Linked DNA regions of Alligator mississippiensis. The protein of the gene in region 1 interacts with the protein of each later gene in a biochemical or structural test. Links are inferred from orthologs where the notes say so. Each region holds a gene or a part of one and is shown in the gene's direction. Other genes may lie near its edges. The genes, in order: MMP2 and TIMP4.

Region 1 (3,930 bases):
AAGGTACAGAGACATAGTCTGCATAAACATGAAGTGTTTTCAAAGGAATAGTTAAAGTAGAAGGTGCAATTCCTTACTAGATCTTGGGGGAAGCCATTCATTGTAACATCCAGGTAGCAGTAACTAGTTACTCTAGTTACTTATTTTCAATAAAAAACTGCAATTTCAGCTAAACATGTCATTCCAGGCAGTGGTGCTTTAAGAAAATAATGAAATATCATGCCTTGAGATAACATCACGAGACCTGGCAATACTATGCATGAGGTAATAAAGAGTGCCCGTGATTTGGCCATGTCTATAATAGAAGTTTGCACTGAGACAGCTACACAAAAGAGTAAAATCCCCAGTGTACACAAGACCTGAATTTCTTATGACTGTTAGGAGTTTTAGAAAGCAACTTATTTTTGTGAAATTGGCCTCATTCTCTACCATGCAATGTACAGAGTCAGGCAAGTACGTATCTGTCTGTCTTGCAAGACAACAGAATTATGCCAAGTGAGACAGCTCATTAAAGGTAATCCTTGCTTGAAAGATAAAGCGAAGCTGGAGTGACATCTCCAGGGTGCAAAATCCTGGCAGTGTATACAGAGACACTGAGTTGTCCATACACCAGTATCCCTCTCTCAGCCTAATGTACACAGAGGAGACAACTCTGTGTACTGCTGAATGGTGACAAAACCCCACGTGAGTTAAATAGGTAATCTCAAATGATTGTTGATAGTAGTTTTATAACAAGACTCATAATATATTCTGTGTGTCAGGGAGGGGAGAAAATGAATATGCATTTCCAATTAATCCTGCATTTATGTATCAGTGGTCTGAGTAGCCCAAGCAAAAATATAAAGGAGCATGCTTTGTCTTGTGGACTGGTACGTAGACTACTGCAAAATGTAGCCCCAAATGCTCATTAAAATGCAGTGTAGTATAATGGGATCATGTATGACCAAACAGGTTTTCAAAATTGTGGCACCCCCTCCCCCCCCCAACCTAAAAAATCCCTTAATGCAAATACCTAACCCATAGAAAAATCTGTACATTTGTTTGTTTTTATTTCACTTAATGTACATATAAGATCTTGTCATTAATCTTAGGTGACATTTTGCCCTGAGCCACACTTGTGAAAACAATCTAGAGTTTCCATGCATGAAAAGCAGACAGAATTTGGCCTCTTCCCTATTTCAGCTGCAGTGAATATCTATCTGTGGCTACCTTAAAATCACAGCAAGTAACATCTGGTAACTGCCCTTTTTCTCATGTTTCCACTGGTTTTCAGACCTCCTGGTAGCTGAGACTGCGCATCTGGATGTTTTAAACATACAAAGGAATTGCTAGAGCAGGCAAAAGAGAAAACGGTGCAGAGAGTTAAGATGTGCAGATAAGTAACTGGTGGACTGTGCAGCTAAAATAACTGGCAACCAGTGAGGGAAAAACTTTTTAAAGAGGGTAGTGCAAGCTAAGGCAGAATGAAGACTCATGTTATCTTTACCCCTTTTGGCTTCATTTTTAAAGTACTCTTGATCCAACAGCATATTTTTTACCAAACTTTAGCTGCACCGTCACCAATCATTAAGTTTCCTGGAGACAGCCCTCCTAAAACAGACAAAGAACTAGCAGTGGTAAGTGTTGGTTTTGTCTTTGCTTCAGATTTATATTGTTGTTCACCATAAGCAGATGTTTCTTTCTTGTTTCAGCTGAGGCTAGGAAATGACTGTAGTTTTCTCTCTCTAGAGTCTCTGGAAGGGAGAGCTAGCTAGCAAGGGTATCAGTTTTCAGATATAAAAGCTAGAGCCAAATAATGTTTCCCCTTTTAAAAAAATTTAAGCCAGCATGGAGAGGGCTTTTCTTTTCTCTTTGAACATACAAGAAAAGAATAATTTCATTAAACAGTTCTGACTTTTGTTGAAAGGTTTTAGTAGTAGTATTTAAAGCAAATAAAATGGAATAGAAAAATATGGAAAACACACAATTCTGAGATTCTTTTATAGTCTAAGCTCACACCACTTTTCAAAATGTTGTTTTCCGTGTTGTTTACCATGCATTGCATAAGCACGGCTTTGAGGGACAATTATATCTTAAAGCTGGATAGAGTTTCAGGAAACATAATGACTGGTTCTAACTTTGAAAGACCTTATCAAAGGTTTGATGAAAGATATTTTTCCTAACCCACATTCATTCTGGAACAAAAAAGTGACATTAGCAACTTATGGATGTATAGGATTTTATTCTAACCTTACTTTAGCCCTGTGTACGTTCATAAAAATGACATAATGAGAAAGTCGATTTTAGGGAAGATTGAGATGGATTATTCTTATTTTAGCATGCAAATTATAGACATTTCTCTTCTTCATCACTAACTCCATTTTAAGGAAGATTGAGATAAATTATCCTTGTTTTAACATGTAAATGATCAAAAAAATGGTCACTTCTTTTTTAGGAGATAGTATGCACACCAGGAAAATTTGCTAGGTTTAAGGGAGGGGTGGAGAGTTTCCAAAAGGAGGTGGAGATGTTGGCAAATGCAGGCAAACTGACCCAAAGGAGCAATTTCCACTTTCAAACCTTACCAAACAAACCACCAAAGGTTTTACTGACCTTGGCAACATGACAAGGGGGTCATATATTTCTAACGGTAGTTCAACTGTTCTTAAAATAATCTCTCCATTTTGTTAGATACACAATGAAGTTTTTATTCAATAACGGTAAACCACATCTACTCTTCTCATCTATATTTCATTCAATGAGCCTATTCATTGTTGTGTATATTCCAATGGAAAATCATGTACTACTTCAACATTTCAGTTCTTTGTCTCTCTTGTACTACTCCTGAGTAATGCTAGACTGCTCAGTCTCTTATGCACCCTGGGCCTGAGCAATGCCAAGGTTTAGAAGCAGAACTTAGACCAGCATTTTGCTGCTGGACTCCTTTCAGTCACAGGCTACATCAAAATTGCAGCTTCCCACAATTTTCCACAGAATCTGACAGATCTTTCAGAGCTTGGACCAAGATGTTGTTTGGAGAGATACAAAAACTCTCCTTCAGAACTCTGAAGATATAATAACTGTGTTCATCTCTGTTCTTCACAATGTGTCTCTATTTTAGAAAGTTTCAGATGCATTATTTTGATTTTATATTTTAGCAAATAAATATCTTACTGTGCCTCAGTTCTTATCCCTCAGCTGTGCACCATAGTCCCAAGACTGGAATACATGGCAGCAGATATAACCTGCCAGTTTAGATTTCAAGTAAGCTTTTACTTCCATACAACTCTAGTTATTAAGCCATGACACATATCTGGGAGATAAGGACAGAGGCAAAATTAAGATAGTCATATGTCAAAGGAAAAATCAGGATGATAATGTATTCTGGGCATTGGTATGCATAGAACATATTCTGAGACCATTTCACATAAAGCCAACAGCTCATAACCTGTCACTGATACAATGAACCTTACAGCAGGAAAGTAATATGAAGTTGCCGGGTAAAATAAATACAGTGATCTCTGCCGCCAAAAGCTACCTCAAACCAGGTTGATATTAAACTTCAGAAACTAAACAAAATTTAGTCTTGATAAGGGGAACATCTTCCAGGACTCCAAGATCTTGTTCAAAATCGTGCTTCAGAGGTGTGTATCTGCTTTGCTTCTATGATAGTTCTAAATCAGTTTCCCGGTGGTGGAACTGAGTACTGCATTTCATAACCATTTGCAGTCATTAATAATTCCTTGTTACTTTTTTGTAGTGAGAAGTTAACCAAAGTATCTTGGGTAAACTTGAGTTGTTATATTCTAACTACATGGACATTTCTGTTGCATTTTCAGTTGGTTAACAAGTTCATTACTTGTACCTACATTCAGTTGCACAGCTGCATTCAGGTCAGGGCCTTCAGTTTGAAGTTAATTTAGCAAGATCTTTGGAATCATTAAATGAATG
Region 2 (3,930 bases), on another chromosome or scaffold:
AAATCATGGACTATAGACCTTGGATTTATGACACATTATAACCTGCATGACATCTGACTCCCCAGGTACCTCTCCACTATTTAACTGCTATATTCATCCCCCTTTTTTTCCTCTCTCACCCACTGACTTCTCAATTTACTTCTTCACTGACTGCCTGTCTTGCATGCATACCAGACCCGCCTCTGGCTTCTTTACTATTCATTCCATCCAGGAAGAGCACACACCAACTGCAGAGACTTCCTCAGCCTGACGAAGGGTTTTTAAACCTGAAAGCTTGCTAAAAATTTTTTGCCAACTATTTAAGTTGGTCTAATAAAAGATATCAGATTCACCCAAAGAACCTTGTCTGCCTATGTCCTCAGACCAACACAGCAACAAACTACACCCCTGTAGCTTATATACAGGTTCCTCTCAAATGTATAAAAATCACCATCCTCTCTGCTCAGACCTTAATGTGCTGTTCGCATGAGAAACCATCTATTATAAGGGCAGTAGAAATTCACGTATACAGGCTGTGAAAAAAATCCAGCAGATTATAGGAGTAAAAGGTTTGTAGGTAAGAGATGAGGGCTCTTCATTTCTGGAATTAAACTATTTTTTCTATGTGCCTACTGAGTCCAAGGAGCCTATGGACTCGTAGTAGCTAGCAGAAAGGGCATATCTGTTGATTAAGATTCGTAAAATCAGGACGGCAGAATAAGGGGTCCACCCAGAACATTTATCACAGGGATATTTTTGTTGTTATTTCAAATTAAGTGTATGCTGAAGTAGAAAAAAAAAAGGCTTATATTTCTGCTTTTATTTTTAAATTGGTAATGCTTGTAGTGACCAATTGTTCAAAGTTTACATGCATGGCATTGAAACATTTCTCTTTATTCATAAAGTTCTATACAACCTGAAAACAGGGAAGTTATTTCAAGAAAATGTAGGGAGGAACAGGGGAAGATCCAGGGCTGTGAATGTAACCAGAGCTGAAACAAGGATATTAGGATTACTTTTACATATGTTGTTTACGTTGGCCATGATAGGGAAGGTGGCAGAACTTTTTCTTTATTAACATTGGCATGAAGTTTATCAGATTATTTTATTAATCTCTATTCTCCTAAAGAGCAGAAATCAATTGCAGAAATATGAAAAAAGATTTTTTCAAAGCTTTTGATTATTAATAGTCACACTGACTCATAACAACAACATTGTGATGCAACCCACTAAGGTAACATCTCTTTTGGTACAATAAGCCTGTCATACAGTATTTTCACCAATGATGTGCTTTTTCCTTAAAGGAAGGCGGGGTTACTAGTTAGTGTCACAGCCATAAATAAGAGGGTCCTATGTCCAGGAAATTAGAAGTCAGTTATCATTAGCATATACTCGGTCTGAGCATTAGAGGGCTTTTCTAACCATCTAAGTCTGTTGAAATCGAACTTCACAAGGAAGGAATCAGACAGACACTAGGAAATTTAGATGTAAGATCACCAGTAAGAGAATATTTTCTTTAGCTGGCCAGTTAAACGTGGTTAAGGCAGCATGAACTCTGTACTCAGTACCTTGTTGTTTTCAGTGCTGCTTCTTCTGACGCTCAGAATTCAGGAGCTCGTAGAGGCATGCAGCTGTGCCCCTGCACATCCACAGCAACTAATCTGTGATTCCGCTTTAGGTGAGTCATAACAACTATACTTTTAACGTTGTCAGCAAGAAAGTAATTGTAACTAAACTAAGTGCTGTGATATTTTTTGTTCTACTCTCTAGGGAATACATTAAACAAAGTAGATTATTCACTGAAAAGGTTTAAAAGCAGAGTGTTCTTAATTAAAGAGACAGGTATATAAGATAATGCATTTTAAAATGTATCTGATATTTGTTAGTAGCTGTTCTGTTTCCCTTCCTTTTTCAGTAAATATTCTAGACTATATGTTGTTGAGTTAGCTGCTATATTAAATTAGTACTTTTTAAAATGCAAGAAAGAACTTCTATATTAGCTTTCCAAGTGAACAGGAAAAATATTGTCACTGACAAATAATTCCAGCTATGTTAAATATATAGAATGGGAAATTATATATAAAATATGTAGGTACAATATATTAAGCAGAAATTATGTATGTGTGTTTTAGGAATAACTAGCTGCCACAGCTCTGTAAAATCCAGTGAGGATATATATTTAAATCAGTTGATTTGTGATGTACTATAATAAGGTTTGGGTATTTTTCCATTTTGCAACAACAATTTTAGCAGGTAAGTATAGGCCTTTTTATCTATAGACAGATTAGCCACAGGAATTCTGTACTACATTTCACTTTCCAGTCCTAAGATGGCTGTGTTTCATGATATTCAAATCAATATATAGAAAAACTAAAGATCTCAAAATTAGACAACATGGGGATAAAAAAAAGTGACATTTTGTAGTCTTTGATTTCATTAGCTCAAGCTGTGGCTGGTTAGCTTCTATCCTGTGTGAACAGTAAATGTAGAACATGAGTTTCCAAAGTGTCGCAAAATTAGCATCTCTATGGGGTAGGCAATACCTTCTGCATACTGATTAATTGCTTTTATACACTGATAGAAATTCTTTGTAGCCATGACAGACTCTAAGCTCTGTTTATGGCCATCAGTTAAATTGTTTTTTTTAATCCGGTTTTGTTAAGCAATCCTTTTATTAATTTACCTATACCAAACATCCCAGATTAGGGTTATTTGAGGTGTGGAAAGTTCAGGTTACTTACTGCTTAAAAATTATTATACTACACTATTTGTCCTCTGCATTGAAAAAGTTGTTGCAAACACCACTTTTTTCAACAATCAACTTATATTGTTTATTTGACAAACATCCAGCATTAGAAAAAGAACTCAAGATACTTATTACATAAAGTATTCCATTAGGTTAAGGGAAATTACAAGGTTCACATTTCCACAAATATCTTTTATAAACAGGGGATCTCCCTTTTTCTTTGTTATGACTAAGTATTAGGGGCAGAAAATAAAATTACATTGTATTTGATATTGATCCTCAAGCACTTACTAACACACACAGTCCCACTGATATTAAATGGAGCATGAACACAAGGGCCCTTTGTTTGGTGTTTACCACTTGAATTTGCTTTTATAAGTACTGTAAGTAGATACATTTATATACTGAATAAATATCCATATAGATATACATGCTATAATTTCTATAAGCAAAGAGGACTGTTTGGTTTGCTAGAGCAACGATACACCATATAAGCATTGCAAAGTGGCAGGGAAAGACCAGTAAAGAATTCACTGTGGGCTGGGGAAGTCTCTACTGACAAATTTAGCAAAGGTTGTTCTACATTATCCTCCACCCACAATGTAAGAGGAAGGAGATGTACTGGGGGAGTTTTATGGGCAGGGCATTGGAGAATGCTGTTCTTCTCTGCAACACTATTATACGCTGGGGCCAGGTGGATTTGAACCAGGAAGTTAGTTAGCTCCTAGTGGTCAGCCCTTTCCACTCTCTACTAGACTGTCTAACCAAGGCACAGAACATTTTATCCCTTATCAAATACACACACAAGAATACTTTTAATCTGTTTTGATTGAAATATTATTAAATGTTAAAGATAATTTTATTTTAGTGTTTATATAATTCCAGATATTTGTAATAACAAAATGTAGAGCCTGCTGCCTCAGTCACTGATGTGATGGGAATTTAACCTTTAACTTTGAAGGGACCAGTCCAATCCAAGTTAAGATTTCAACACTTAACCAGAATTGCAGAGTTTTTCAATGATGTAAACGTTAATCATTCAATTACAGAGACTTTGCAGAATACAAAAGAGGTGAATCTCTGTTAAACAGGACACAAACAGTGAGATAATGCCTCAACCTGTCCTATTTATATAGCACAAAGAATGGCCTATAATGAAGTTATTATCTTCCAACTTCAATTCCTTTCTACAATTCAGTTTTCCT

The links.
Region 2: the proteins of MMP2 (region 1) and TIMP4 form a complex in vitro, tested with the Homo sapiens proteins (2 studies listed by BioGRID). The link is inferred for Alligator mississippiensis from reciprocal best matches to the Homo sapiens genes MMP2 and TIMP4.

What each region holds. Positions count from the first base shown.
Region 1 is NC_081833.1:46,114,495-46,118,424, reverse strand, and holds the start of MMP2 (72 kDa type IV collagenase), read left to right. Parts: upstream 1-1,281; 5' UTR 1,282-1,463; coding exon 1,464-1,616; intron 1,617-3,930.
Region 2 is NC_081835.1:31,311,289-31,315,218, forward strand, and holds the start of TIMP4 (metalloproteinase inhibitor 4), read left to right. Parts: upstream 1-1,336; 5' UTR 1,337-1,527; coding exon 1,528-1,657; intron 1,658-3,930. UniProt on the Homo sapiens protein: Complexes with metalloproteinases (such as collagenases) and irreversibly inactivates them by binding to their catalytic zinc cofactor. Known to act on MMP-1, MMP-2, MMP-3, MMP-7 and MMP-9.